2 linked regions of the Stegostoma tigrinum genome follow. The protein of the gene in region 2 purifies or fractionates together with the protein of the main gene of each other region. This does not show direct contact. Links are inferred from orthologs where the notes say so. Each region holds a gene or a part of one and is shown on either strand. Other genes may lie near its edges.

Evidence for each region. Proteins that work in one complex are often made in the same cells at the same time.
Region 1: the proteins of pin1 (region 2) and polr2d purify together in Homo sapiens (co-immunoprecipitation; 3 studies listed by BioGRID and IntAct, with this or other methods). This does not show direct contact. The link is inferred for Stegostoma tigrinum from reciprocal best matches to the Homo sapiens genes PIN1 and POLR2D.

The regions. Positions count from the first base shown.
Region 1 is NC_081367.1:6,523,503-6,530,726, forward strand, and holds the start of polr2d (DNA-directed RNA polymerase II subunit RPB4), read right to left. Parts: upstream 3,108-7,224; 5' UTR 3,071-3,107; coding exon 2,998-3,070; intron 1,718-2,997; coding exon 1,537-1,717; intron 119-1,536; coding exon 23-118; intron 1-22. UniProt on the Homo sapiens protein: Core component of RNA polymerase II (Pol II), a DNA-dependent RNA polymerase which synthesizes mRNA precursors and many functional non-coding RNAs using the four ribonucleoside triphosphates as substrates.
Region 2 is NC_081388.1:20,180,521-20,188,071, reverse strand, and holds the start of pin1 (peptidyl-prolyl cis-trans isomerase NIMA-interacting 1), read left to right. Parts: upstream 1-4,540; 5' UTR 4,541-4,555; coding exon 4,556-4,904; intron 4,905-7,551. UniProt on the Homo sapiens protein: Peptidyl-prolyl cis/trans isomerase (PPIase) that binds to and isomerizes specific phosphorylated Ser/Thr-Pro (pSer/Thr-Pro) motifs.

The DNA of each region.
Region 1 (7,224 bases), on a different chromosome or scaffold from region 2:
ACAGTACAGAAAGAGCACTGACCTGGGAATGAGGGCTTTGGCCTCCTCAGCTGTCTCAGGACACAGATTGGCCAAACTGGCTAGCTCAAATTTGTGTAATTTCTTCTGTAATAGCAGACTACAAGAAAGAGAATGTGAAAGCTATACTTCAAATGAAAGCCACACACTAGTTCAACTCGATCTCTTCACAAGAGCCTAAATGTGATTAAATACAACACAAGCGTAAACAGGACTGAGAAGAATAATATGATCAATTCTATTTATCTGTGATAATAGAGTAAGACAGTTAATAGTAGACAAGTAAATTGAAAGATAATAAAATAACTACTGAAAGAAAATGACAAAGTTGATATAGTTACCAGGAAACATTTCCTTGTCAAACACAGTCAACAGATCCCAGCCACAGTTGTTAACTTTGAGCCAAAAGCAGGCAAAAAGGATCAGTATTCAAGAGGATCAAGTTATCAACCTTCATACTTAGTCAGAAGTCAAAATTGTGCAATATGTCATCATAGGATAATTGTGCACTAAGCTCAGAGGATAGAATTAGCCCACTTGCCACTGAATTTGCCTGAAATTTGCTGTGAATACTGTCACAAAGACAATTTAGCTGTCACATTATTATAATAGCACTGTTTGGACATATGTGCTTTGAACTTTTAGGAAGAGACACTGCAAAACAAAATACAATGACTACAGTAGCAAAACCATTGCATTTAGAAGGAACAGGTTGTTTCAATGAAGATGCCAAGTCCACAACACCTTCAGAAAAGTCACATGATCCAGTTTTGGTTCCAGGGAAAGAAAAGTAGATGATTTGAGCTCAGATAACCAGAGAGATAACTTGCCTTGAGCACAGCCCTTACCATCTCTGTTTTCTCTGAAACTCATCTTAAAAGTTTGAGTTATAAACCTTTTGAAAGATTTCATCAAGTATTAGTTCCTAATGGGAATAGTTCTGATTGCTGCACTCTGAGTTCTTGAAGGAGAATCAGAATCTATCACCAAATTCAAAAGAAAATCAGCTAGTCACATGTGATCCAGGAAGAAATCCTATTGCCAATATTTTGTAAGCAAAGTGACTCTGCTACAGATTACCATTTGGACACTGATTTTTTAAAAAATTAGATTGTAACTTGGTTAAACACTTAAGAAAACACATTGAAATGTTTTCAAATTTGTCTCTCTCACTGCATCCGAGTGAGTGAGTGTTATTTTTCAGGAGAAATTGAATATATTTGACAGCTTAAACCTTAAGTTAATCTCAACAATTTGCTTCAGTAAGCTTCATATACAATAAGTTAATTCGTGACTTGTTACTTAAAGACCATGGCTGACTTGCTTTGATGTGGACTAAATATACAATCTGATACTATATATAATTGAAAATACCCCCCCCCTTTCAAATTCCAAATCTGTTGGGACCAGGGAAGGATGGGACAAGTAAGAGAATTAATTCACCCCTCCCAACCCCAGCAAGAGCAATACTGCAGATCAGTAGGTGCACTGAATATTTTCGAATCCTCACGCACTGACCTCCTAACACTGGCAATGGTCTCCCTATTTTTGAAGCGGCTGAATCTGGCTGTATAGTTTAACGTTTTCATAAACACTTCAGAGAGCTCCTGCTCATCTTCTGCACTTTCGTTCTGCTGCTTCCGGTGCTCCAGCAACATGTGGACCTCAGAGTTTAACAGGGTCTCTGAGCTTTCAAACTCTGTGACAACATAAAACAAAACAACCAAAATGTAGCCAAACCTTCAGTCAGTTACCTAACAATGCCCCTCCCAAACAACTTCCAATAACTTAGTTTTTTGAATACCATATTGATAGTACTTAAGCTCAAACATCTATCAACTGGTAACAAAGTGTGGAGCTGGAGGAACACAGCAAGCCAGGCAGCAGAGGAGCAGGAAAATTGACGTTTCGGGTCAGGTCCCTTGATTTCTGAAGATTTCTAAAGAAAGGTCCCAACCCGAAACATCAACTTTCCTGCTCCTCTGCTGCTGCTTAGCCTGTGTTCCTCTTCCCCCACCTTCACACTGTGTTATCTCTGACTCCAGCATCTGCAGTTCTTGCTATCTCTGAGCGATCACCTGATAACAGGTTAACTCCTTCCATTCCTGTGTACTGAGTTTCCATATCTGAAGCCTAGAAAGAGGGAGCGAACAGTACCGTATTGCACACATTGAGCAAGGTAATTTCAGAGGATTAAATCATTGTGCCACATACATGCTTCTCCAGTGGAACATTTGCTGAGTAGTAGATGTGTACAGTTGGAATTTGGCAGAAAGCAATTCATAAGCTTTTTTTTAAAAAAGGTAAGTGAAGAACTTAAGTGGGAATAGCAAAGGAAGTAGTGTATTTATGGTGGAACAGACTCAAGGGCAAGAAAAGCCTTTACTGTGCTGTATGATTCTACAACTCTGAGGCTTTCCTGAAAGTGGTTCGCATCGCTGCCTCACAGTGCCGGGTAACAGGTTCAATTCCGACCCTGGGTGGCTGTCCATGTGGAGTTTGCATATTCTCCCTGTATCCGTGTGGTTTTCCTCCGGGTGCTCCAGTTTCCTGCCACAGTCCAAAGATGTGGATTGGCCATGGTTAAAAGCCCCATGCAGGGTTACAAGGATGGGGTGGGTCTGCCGGGGATGTTTTTCAGAGGGTCAGTGCCGACCTCTATGGGCCAAATGGCCTCCTTCTGTACTACAGGGATTCTCTGACTCACAAAAGGAGAATGAAAGTGGCATGCTCAGTGGCCAACCCTTCACCCTGTTCCCTGAGCATACTGCTGCTATTGTTATCATTCTCTCTTGAACTTGGTGGCCTGTCGCTTATGTTATGTCTTTATGCAGCATTTCTTGAAGGGCAAACTAGAAGTGAATTGAGCATATAAAACAGAGTGAGAACTGACTGAGAATACAGCAGGAACTTTCAATGATTTACCTTTCTCACCCCATTATCATCATCATATCCATCCCTCTCCCTCTCCGCCAGTACCTTTCGGGAACACCAGCTGGGAAGCGTCCTCCTCCACATCGCCGACCCGGGCCTCACTACCACAGGCCGCCATTGCAAGTCCTCACTGACCCGGAACAAGACCAGACCAGATCCCAGCCCATCCAGACGCATGCGCAAAAGCTGTACGGCTTCCCCCCCACCCCGGGCGCTGCCACGTTTGATACAGGCGGAACCTGGTCACTGAAAATAGCCTGGGAACAGTGTGGCTCCAGCCTGGCCCGGGTTCTTGCCTTCCTATTCGTTAAAACATTTTGTTGGATTGAGTCGGTCAATCAGCGTCATGATTCTGAGTGACTGAATGGGTCCCGCTCGTAAGAGGAAGAAGGGAATCTGTACTCGAAACTTTAACTCTGCATCCTCGCCACAGAGGCTGCCCAGACCTGCTCAGTTTCTCCAGCAATTTCTGTTTTGTTTCAGATCTGCAGTATGCACATTCTCTTTGTTTTATGTAAGAACAAGAGGACATAAAGCTAAAGTGATCTACAAAAGAAACAAGGGTGAAGTGAGGAAAAACCTGTACAAACAGTGAGTAGTTAGGCTATGGAATGCACTGCCTGGAAATGTGATGGAGGCACATTGAATTGACGCATTCAAGAGGGCGATGTAAATAACACTCAAAGCTATGAGGGGAAAGCAGGATACTGGCACTAGGTATTGGTGCACTTTTCACAAGCTGTTGTCAGCACAATGAGCTGAATGGCTTCATGTGCACCATAATACTTATATAATTCTATGGGTCTACTCCCTGAGGAAGAACAATGTCCCTTTCAATAAGAACATACCCAGGTGACTCAGGTCAGCCCTGAGTCTACTTCACCTTGCATGGCTGATCTGATTGTGGCCTTATCTCCATTTTCATGCCTGACCTCCTTGGAATCTTTGACTCCCTTGTCAATATATAACTCCGACTTGAATGTATTCAATAGCCCAAATTACATTGCTTTCCATGTGAATTCAAAACACAAACTACCCTCTACAGAGGGTGACCAACTATTAAGACCATAAGAAATTGAAACAGGAGTAGTCTGTTCAGCCCTTCAAGCCTGCTCTGCCATTCAATAGCATAATGGTTGATTCAACATTCCTCGTCTCCTATTTCCTGCTCTTTCCCTGTAACCCTTCATTTCCCTATTGATCAAGAACCTATCTCAGCCTTAAATACACATAAGGACCCCGTGCCAAAACAACTTTCTGTAGCACGGAGTTCCCAAGACTCTCAATCCTCTGAGAGAAGGAATTCCTATTCATCTCAGTCTTAAATTGATGCCCCTTTATTGTGAGACTATGCCCTCAGGTCCTAGAGTCTCCCATGAGGGGAAACATGCTTTCAGCATTTGACCCTGTCAAGCTACTGAAGAATCCTATAGTTTCAATGATATCACTCTTGTTCCAACAGTAGAGTCCCAATCTGTTCAACCTCTCATCAGCCAAGTCCTCTATACCAGCGATCATCCTGGTGAATCTTCTTTGAACTGCCTCCATTTAAATAATTTCCTTAAATAAGTGGACCAAAATTGCTCTCACAGTACTCCAGATGTGGTCTCACTAGCACCTTGTAGTTACAATAAGACTTCCCTACTCTTATACTCCAGTAAACAGTTGCGGTCCAGCACTGGTCCATGTGGAACCCACTGGTTACAAGTCACCAAGCTGAAAAAAAACCCTTATCACCACTGACTGTTTCCTGCCCATTAGTCAATTCGCCATTCATGCCAATATAATACCTCCAATACTGTGGGTTCTGTTCTGGATTCCCAAAAACTGTCAACAGTCCCCACAGGTGCCATTTAGAGATCTTTGACTTTTGAGCGTTGTGGTAATGGTTTATGCACAGAATGCTTTGCTGGTCTTCTGCTCCAACAACTTCATCAGAGGTAAAGTCTCAACAACCACCTACCTACTCATTTTCAGCTGCAATCTGTCCTTGGAAGTTCAGCAACACTTAAGATTTGGTGAGCCTCCCCTAATCTTTTCCTCAAATGTTGGTCAACCTGCCTCTAAGGGAATGAGTAATTTTCATTTTAAATGGGAAACTCATTATTTTAAAACTCTGGCTTCTAATTCTAGACTTGCACCTGAGGGCAAACATCCTTTCAGAATCCATCTTGACAAGCCTCCTCAGAAACGTCTTTGTGTCAATAAGATCTCATTCTCCTAACCTCCAACAAGCCCATTCTGCTCAACCTCTCCTTATAAGACAGACCTCTTCATCCTGCAAATCTTCTAAGTGACTCTCCTCCTGCTTCCAGTGTAAGTAGGGTTCCCTCCTTAAGCTGACCAGAGTTGTGCTCAATGTGATTTCACTCATGGCCTCTGCAGTTTTAAGACATCCCTACCTGTATTCTCCACTCCTTTTGTAATAAATGCCAACATTCCAAACACTTGCCTCATCAACTTGTTCAGGGATGTAACACCTCTGGAGTGGTGGGATCTGAACCTAGGCCACCTGACTCAGAGGTAGAGATCTACCAATGTGTCACAAGGGTGCCGAAGCCTAAAATCCATTGTGTTCCGAATGACATGCTGCACTTGGTGGCTGATTATTTGTGATATATATAAGAAGTCTGCAGTGTCTCTCTGCCTTAAATAATAGTCTGCTTTTCTATTTCTGCCAAATTGGATGACCTCACATTTTCCCACATTGCATTATATCTGATAATTTCTGACTCCCCATTCTTTGTAGATTTAATTCCCAACTTATCTTTGTATTATCAGCAGAATTGGCTACAAAACAGTCAGTCCCTTTAACAAAGTCACGGACATAGATGGTGAATAGTCAGTTTCTCGTACTGATCCCTGTGGTATTCTGCTAGTTACAGTTTGTCATCATACTAATGACACATTTATCTCAACCACTTTTATCTTCTTAGTTCATTCTCTACACATGCTAAACACCCTGAACACCATGAATGCTTACCTTTTGTGGTTGGCTTTCATGCAGTGATTTTATCAAATGCCTTTCAGAAATCCAAATACACTACAGCTACTAGTTCCCCTTTAAATATGTCGCTTGTTACATTCTTAAAGGACATTACTGCAAATATCAATCAAATTTTTCTTTCACAAAACCATATTTACTCTCCTTGATAGTATTAATTTCAGATTGTCCTTCCACTACCTACTTTGTAGTGAATTGTAGCATTTTCCTAATGCCAGACATTGGAGTAACTAATCTATCATTTCTTTGTCTTTCTCCTTTCTTGGACATAGGTGTATTTTCTGGTTTTCCACTGGGCTGGGTCTGTTCCAGAATCTAGGGAATTTTGGAAGATTACAACCAATGCATTTACCATTTCTCTGTCGCTAGTTTCATTTATTCCACAGAATGCAGACAATCAGATCCAGTGGACTTGTCAGTGTGTTTGATTTCTGTTGCTTTTCCTGTGCTTTTTTGGTGACTGTTTTCTTTCACTTCCTTCATTTTGCTGATTGATTTTCTAATATTCATGGGGTGACTTTTTATCTTTAACCTTGAAGACTATTGACTTTCGCTAACTGTTTGGACATCCTTCTGCCTTTATCCAAAGATTTGTTATGGACCTGCAGTTCTCACTCAAACTGAATCTCAAATTCTTTCATGCCTTATTCACTCCTCTCGAAGGCATCCTTTACTGTAAAGGTCATTAATTTATTCTGTTTCATTCCCAATTGATAAAGTTGTTCCCTTGTAGCTTCCAGTGTGTATTGTCTTTGAAACTATTCCAGGAACACATCCTACAGGCCATCTTTGCCAATTTGATTTCGAAAGTTTTTGTCCACTCACTTACCTGACTAAATCCCTTCGTAGTCTCTTTATGTTCTTTTGACATATTTTCCTACCTAGCTTTGTGTCATCTTTGTCTTTAGCTAATGCCAAATGTTTGGGGTCTTCACACAAACATATCAGGGATTTCCAATTGTTTTGTATGAGGAACTATCTTTCCATTTATCTCTCATACAGGGCCAGCTAACAAATTTTGGGCAGATAAAGTCATAAATACTAAACATGAATTTGAAACAAAATTCCAAAGCAATAATTTGAATAAATTAGTGACTAATAGAAATGATCTCTAAAAAGTGCCGAGTAGCAGAGCTAACTAATAAAACCTTTGTCATTTCAGGTAAGGTCATAAGAACACAAGGTGTAGGGTAGATTCATTCTGCCCATTCAGCCCATTGAGTTCGCTACACTATTTAACAAGATCATGGCTGATCTGATAATCCTCA
Region 2 (7,551 bases):
CATATGTAATGTACTGTTCGAAGTCTTATGTGAGATAAGGTGGTGTTTGTCAGCTGAAGGGAAATGCTGAAATAGGTGTTTGTTGCCTATCAACCCCCCCCCCCCCGAACCATCTCTTCCACTCCATGACCCCCAACACAAATTGAAATTGCTCCCTTCTTTGTGCATACTGGATTTGTCTGACCATGAAATTTGAGAAAACATTCTCTGCCACTTTACTCTGATTTTTATTTGTCTCAGTTGGAGTTTCATCATCATTATGGAGTTGAGTATGGCCAGATCTCCTTTTCCAAGCTACCATCCTACCCCCACCCCCCACTCTCTCCAAATAAGAAAAATCCTGTATTCTGTCTGAGAATTTCGTGGAAGTGAAACTCCACTTTTTTTTTTAAAATTTCCTATTTAGTTGACCAGTTCTTGGAGACTGCAGAAAATGCACATATTTGTAACCTGACCTAGAATTGTGTGGTTTGATGGTACAGAACTTGAGTATTGTTGATAAAAGGCACATTTTGTCGAAGCCCTTTGACTTGCACTCATCAGGACCATGTGCAAGAAATGGTAATGTACAGGATAGACAAATCTATTGTACTGCACAAGAGGAGACTGGCAAACAGTGAGCACAGTGGACTACCTGCATGGCTGATAACTTTCTACATCACTAATTGGTTGCTCCTTTTCTAAAGTTGTTACCTTTCAGATATCCTGCTGAGGACGGATGCTGCCAAGTTCCTACAATTTAAAAAAAATATTCAAACTAAAGTAACTATTGAATGTTTCCCATGTTTCATGACTGCAAGAACCAGTGTGCCAGATTTTACTCTTGGTTGGTCAAACTGCCCTGTGACCTTCATCTTAGAGTAAAATAATGTGTTGGTGATTTTGCTGAATGGTATCTTACGGTCCTTGAAATAATTCTCTTGTACTGGAAATCACAAAGGAAGAATGATTGAACTCTTCAATAATTATCTCTCTTTCAAAGCTACTGACCTGAAACACTGTATCGACTCTGACTCCAGCATTGGCAGTTATTGCTATCTCCAACCTGAAACATTTCCTTATCTCTTCCTCTGCAGGGTCCTGTCTGACCCAAATACGTTCCAGAATTTTCTGTTTTTATTAAAATAGCAGCCTATTTCAGTTGCAATCTTAATCTCGCTTTAATGATTTTAGGACAGTCATCTATAAGCAAATGTATAGACAAGTTTTTTTTTATATTTTGAATTCATTGGCTTAATATTATGACTAATATTGCATGGCTATTCACTCATTTATCTTGTGTATTTCAACTTCAGTTCTTTTAACCTTTTCAACTATTTGCTGAGACGTTTTAAAAGCTCATTGGAAAATTAATTTGACTTCATATCATAAAGCCATGTTTTGCGACTGATGTACCATTGTAAGCAGTTTATAACTTCACTGGTCTCTGTCCTCTTGGTAACAATTTAGACATGTCTCCAGTTTTCAAAGTCCAGATTAAACCAGTACGCCACTGTTGCTATTCAGATTTATTTTTTGCTCTGCCCAGAATGTAACTTATTTTTAAAATGACAAATTGTGGGAATTAAAATAATGGAGGTTGTAATTATTTACATTGCAAGGTGCTCTTTTTCTGTTCAGTGGGCTTGTGTTTCAGTAGCAGAGTTTTATTAGCTATGAATCTAGGCTCTGCATGAAAGTACTCATTCTCCACAAATATTAAAATGATCCCCAGTAAAGCCATGTTGGATTATATGAACACAGGGAATTATCTATTAATGCAGCTGAAATTGCAACCTGGAAGCTTGAGCCAAGCTCCAGTAGCTTTACTATGTTGAATATATCAAAAATTTTAATTTTGTCATGATAAAAGATAACTTGCTTGAAATATATGCTTCATTTTATTGCTGATAATAGACTGGTGATAGACTTTTTTTAACGTAAGCCTGGCTGAGGACTTTATAATTGGTTTTAACATTTTATATGTATCATTTTTCCATGGCCTTGGGTAAAAACATGTAGGTACATTGATAATCTGTTCTCTAAGACTGTCATGGGCTCTTAGATTGCTTAGTAATGGGTATAGTGGAATAATTTCATAGTGTTTGTCTGAATATTGATTTCTGTTATGTGAACTTCAGTTCCTTTGTGTTTTCTCAATTCTTACTTTGTGGCTGTTGTCCAAAAATGTCCAATAGTGCCAGTTTGTTGTTTTCGTGTTTAACAAGTGGAAACTTTGTGTAATCTAGTTTTCACTTAACAGAGAGGAGAAAACACGGAAATCTAGCTTAAACTGAAATCCTGGCACTTCCTTGCTGACAGTACTGTGGTTGCACCTGTACACATGGACTGCAGTAACAAGCCAGCACCACCATCTTGAGGGCATCTTTAGAGATGAGCAGCAAAATTCTGGTTCATCTTGAGATGCTGACCCCATCAATGAGTACAAAAGGAATTACAAAAATAGCAGTCTGCTAAATGTGATTTGTCTCCAGCACTTTCATGGAATTGAAAAGTTGCTGGGAAGGAGTACGTGGTTCAAAAGGTTAAAATGCAATCCAGACTGATTCATAGGGAGTGGGTGATCCTTGGAATTCTCTGTCCCAAAGGGTTTGGTGACTTAGTTATTGAGAGAATCCAAGAGGGATCTGTTATTAAATATATAAAGAGAGATGGTGTTATTGCACAAAAGATCTCTTAACAAGAAGATCAACCATGATCACACTGAATGGCAGAGCATGAGTCCTGCTCCTATTTCATTCATTTATGAGAAAAGTAGCTTGAAAAGTGCAAAAATACACATGACCATGTTTGGACTATGCAGTGAAAATTTTTTAAAAATTCATGATTGGTCCAGAGCTGTTGGAAGCACCACATGATGGCAAGTTGTATTATTGATGTTTATTTAATACTCATTTATTTTAAAGTCTGAAATCCTGGCACATCCTCCCTAAAAGCACCATGTTTGTAACTAAGATAACAAAGTGTGAAGCTGGATGGACACAGCAGGCCAAGCAGCATCTCAGGAGCACAAAAGCTGACGTTTCGGGCCTAGACCCAGACCACAGATTGCTCAGTAACGAAAAGTGGTATAAATCAGAGCAAAGCAACATGTATATAGTTTCATAAAGCATATATTCTAAAACCGTTTTCTTCAGAAAGCCAAGTTCATGATGGTGTCTCTTTTAGATTCAACCTGTAGCTGGTACCATAAAATGGCAGCCTGAAGACAGGGCTCCAAACTAGACACATGCTGTTTTCAGTCCAGCCTTCACAGTTCATCACAACACACACTTTACTGCAGGAAGCAATCTAGATTACCCAAAACCCTTCCATGTAAACAACTTCAGCAACATATCCTTGCTGAACACTTAACACTTGATTTAATTAGATTCAGAACATAGTGTAATGTATTTGTGTCACTTGCAGTCAGGTGAATGTAGGAAGGCAAAGATGTCAGAATAGTGTTATCTTCCAAAAGAAAACATTTGTGCCCCCTTTGCCTTACCAGAGGCCTACATAGCATTTCTAATGATGTACTGAATGCTGAATTTATGTCCTAAAAATGAAATTGTCTAATCTTTCAAATTGTTAAATATGAAGAATGCAGCAAAACAAATTTAGTCAGAAGAATAAGATTCTGTGAATAAGAGGACCATAGTACCAAAAAAAATCTTACACATGTCAAGGAAGCTGTATGTCAAGTTTGAATGTTGTTCTCTCTGTGGTAGTTTGTTCACGTATGTATTGACTGCCCGGATTAAGTTCACAGTTGATTTGTACAGAGGCTGCAGTCTTTACACATGATGGGAGCACACTTTTCTGTGAATGACCTCCAAGACCAACAAAGGGGAAAAAGCACCTCAAGCAGGCACCAAATAAGTCTGTTGACCAACAACAAATATTATGCATTTAAGGTTAGAGTTTCTGTAGTTGTCATGTGTTTTTGTGTTTTTTTTTGGACATGTGGATCTCAGTGTTGCGACAAGTTGTGATAGATAAATCTCTGCTATAAATTCCTAATGATTTTTGTGTAATTTTGTGCTTTTTGAGATGATGGATGCAAAGAAGGTTTGATGCCACAAATGCTGTCTGTCCAGTTAGCCATACTGCAGTTGCTTGTATGCATATGGCAAATGATGGAATAAAGTAAGTTAAGCTATGGTGCCCAGTACTGATGAACATTTTCTTTCAATGTGCTTTTGGGGGTGTGCATTCTGTGGCTTTAGCCAGGGCACAGTGGTAAAACTGTCTTGTCAAGGTCAGGCTCTGTAAGGATGTAGCTGCAATGTCTGGTCTGACACTGAAATTTGAGAGTGCTGCACTGTTGGAAATTAGTGAAACGATTGAATGAAGTTCTAATTCCCCTCGTGACAGTCAATTCTAACATCAAAGAGGGGCTCGTTGGCCGATATTCATCCACCTGGCTGCATCTCTTTTTATAACAAAAAAATCCAGTCCTAATGACTTTTTTTAAGGCCTTTCACATTTCTTTCAAAATGTAGTATTTAAGTTGTTGTAATGTGTGTTTTGTAGTGAAGGATGTTGTAGAAACCCATGTTGATATCCAGTGCCCATGGAACTGCATCTGAGACTTCTGAAGAAATCGGGACAAGGGCTCTGGAGTGGAGCGAGGAAGGAGAAACTATTCAAATCAGGTTTTGCAAGGTGTGTCTTGATTGGTTTGCTTGCATCTCTGATGCCATTTGATATTTCTTTTGCAGGTCGCATTTACTTCTTCAATCATATAACTAATCGGAGTCAGTGGGAGCGACCAAAAGCTGGGGGGAATTACAATTCTGTTGAGCCTGACAAAGTTCGTTGTTCCCACCTGTTAGTGAAGCACAACCAGTCACGCAGGCCTTCTTCGTGGAGACAGGAGGAGATCACACGCAGCAAGGAGGAGGCACTAGAGACATTAAATGGTAAGCTGATAACCAATGCACACCTCAGCAAGAGCACAAAAGCCTCTGTTTGTACTGTTAAGATGTCTTGATGGGTGCAAAAGAGGAGAGCATAAATGTGTTTGAAATAATTACAGAGGCTGGTGTCTTGTGACCAAGTCACCCTTTATTTACATGTGTGCAGTACAAGGGCTCTGAGTCAGTTCCGTGACTGAGGAGACCTTCTGAATCTCCCATTTATATCTGTCAGCCAGGGCTCCCTGATTGCCTCAGGTTAGCAGCCCTAGTCAAGGACCTCATAATCAATGACATTCACCTGGCCCAATTTGTGCTCAGCTTGATTTGGAACATTTTTGAGGTTTTATGACTATAGCAAATTTTTGGGGAAATGTCAGTTGAATGGTATGTCACAAACCCCTTCCCAAGCTGGTTGAGTGAGCCACCCTTAAGAATATATCAGTGTTACTCTGCAAGTAGGCACTTGGAAGGTGTGTGAAAACCTTTGGGGATGATTGATCTTCTAATCTCTTCATCCCCGCTGCCCTCAGTAAAATTCTTGGTATTTGCAAGATCCCCAGTATGTTGATACTAATGAGGCATGGAGCTTGCTGCATATGATTCTAGGTGATGCATTGGATTCATCAATGGTGAGATTTGCATTGCCCTGTTGATTTGAGTGCTGTATGCTTTTCCTTTGTTTTAATATTTCAGAGGAGATTTTTTGCCTTGGAATTGATTCAACACTACAGACATAATAGACTGTCTAGTTTCTGTCCTAAAATGTACCAATATTCTTAGATTAAGGACATGACAGGCAAAAGTGTTTATTCCTGCCATACACAGGTGCTAGTAATTTTGGCATAGCATGAACCCTCTTGTAAACTATTGGGAAAGAAAATGTTTTTGTGTGTCATACATCTAAAGGCAAAGTAGAAATGCACAGGTTAATATCAGAATAGGTAAAGAAAATTTGGGCTCAGACATCTTATTCTTTTGTCAGGAACAGAAGTCTATCTTTAGTGATTATCTTCAGTTGTAAGTTATCTCAGGCAACCAGCTTGTAACTTATGTCCATTTCAAGCCCACCGACTCCCACAGCTACCTAGAATACACTTCCTCCCACCCACCCTCCTGCAAAAATTCCATCCCCTGTTCCCAACTCCTCCGCTTCCGCCGCAGCTGCTCCCACAATGAGGCATTCCACTCCCGCACATCCCAGATGTCCAAGTTCTTCAAGGACCGCAACTGTCCCCCCACAGTGATCGAGAACGCCCTTGACCGCGTCTCCCGTATTTCCTGCAACACATCCCTCACACCCCGCCCCTGCCACAACCGCCCAAAGAGGATCCCCCTCGTTCTCACACACCACCCCACCAACCTCCGGATACAACGCATCATCCTCCGACACTTCCGCCATCTACAATCCGACCCCACCATCCAAGACATTTTTCCATCCCCACCCCTGTCTGCTTTCTGGAGAGACCACTCTCTCCATGACTCCCTTGTTCGTTCCACACTGCCCTCCAACCCCACCACACCCAGCACCTTCCCCTGCAACCGCAGGAAATGCTACACTTGCCCCCACACCTCCTCCCTCACCCCTGTCCCAGTCCCCAAGATGACATTCCACATTAAGCAAAGGTTCACCTGCACATCTGCCAATGTGGTATACTGCATCCACTGTACCCGGTGTGGCTTCCTCTACATTGGGGAAACCAAGCGGAGGCATGGGGACCGCTTTGCAGAACACCTCCGCTCAGTTCGCAACAGACAACTGCACCTTCCAGTCGCAAACCATTTCCACTCCCCCTCCCATTCTTTAGATGACATGTCCATCATGGGCCTCCTGCAATGCCACAATGATGCCACCCGAAGGTTGCAGGAACAGCAACTCATATTCCACCTGGGAACCCTGCAGCCTAATGATATCAATGTGGACTTCACCAGTTTCAAAATCTCCCCTTCCCCCACCGCATCCCTAAACCAGCCCAGATCTTCCTCTCCACCCACTGCATCCCAAAACCAGTCCAACCTGTCTCTGCCTCCCTAACCTGTTCTTCCTCTCACCCATCCCTTCCTCCCACCCCAAGCCGTACCCCCATCTACCTACTAACCTCATCCCACCTCCTTGACCTGTCTGTCTTCCCTGGACTGACCTACCCCCTCCCTACCTCCTCACCTATACTCTCTCCACCTATCTTTTCTCTCCATCTTCGGTCCGCCTCCCCCTCTCTCCCTATTTATTCCAGAACCCTCACCCCATCCCCCTCTTTGATGAAGGGTCTAGGCCCGAAACGTCAGCTTTTGTGCTCCTGAGATGCTGCTTGGCCTGCTGTGTTCATCCAGCCTCACGTTTTATTATCTTCAGTTGTAATTTCTGTTCTCATTTGCTGCCTGACCTCCGTGTTTCCCAGAATTCTGTTCTACTTGCACAGACCGCTTGGGCGATTGCTTATTTTGAGCTAAACCTTCCCGAATGAGTTGATGAAGGTTGAATGGATCATGATTGATGGAAATATTTGGGTGAGATTGCACTGGCACAATATGAAGTGTTGTTAACCTCCCACATGCATAGTTGTTGATTTCATTAATGCTATGTGGAAGAACGGTAGTGTCAAGACTGGCCCTTGCAAATGATATGCCTTTTGTCATGGATACTAAGTTCATG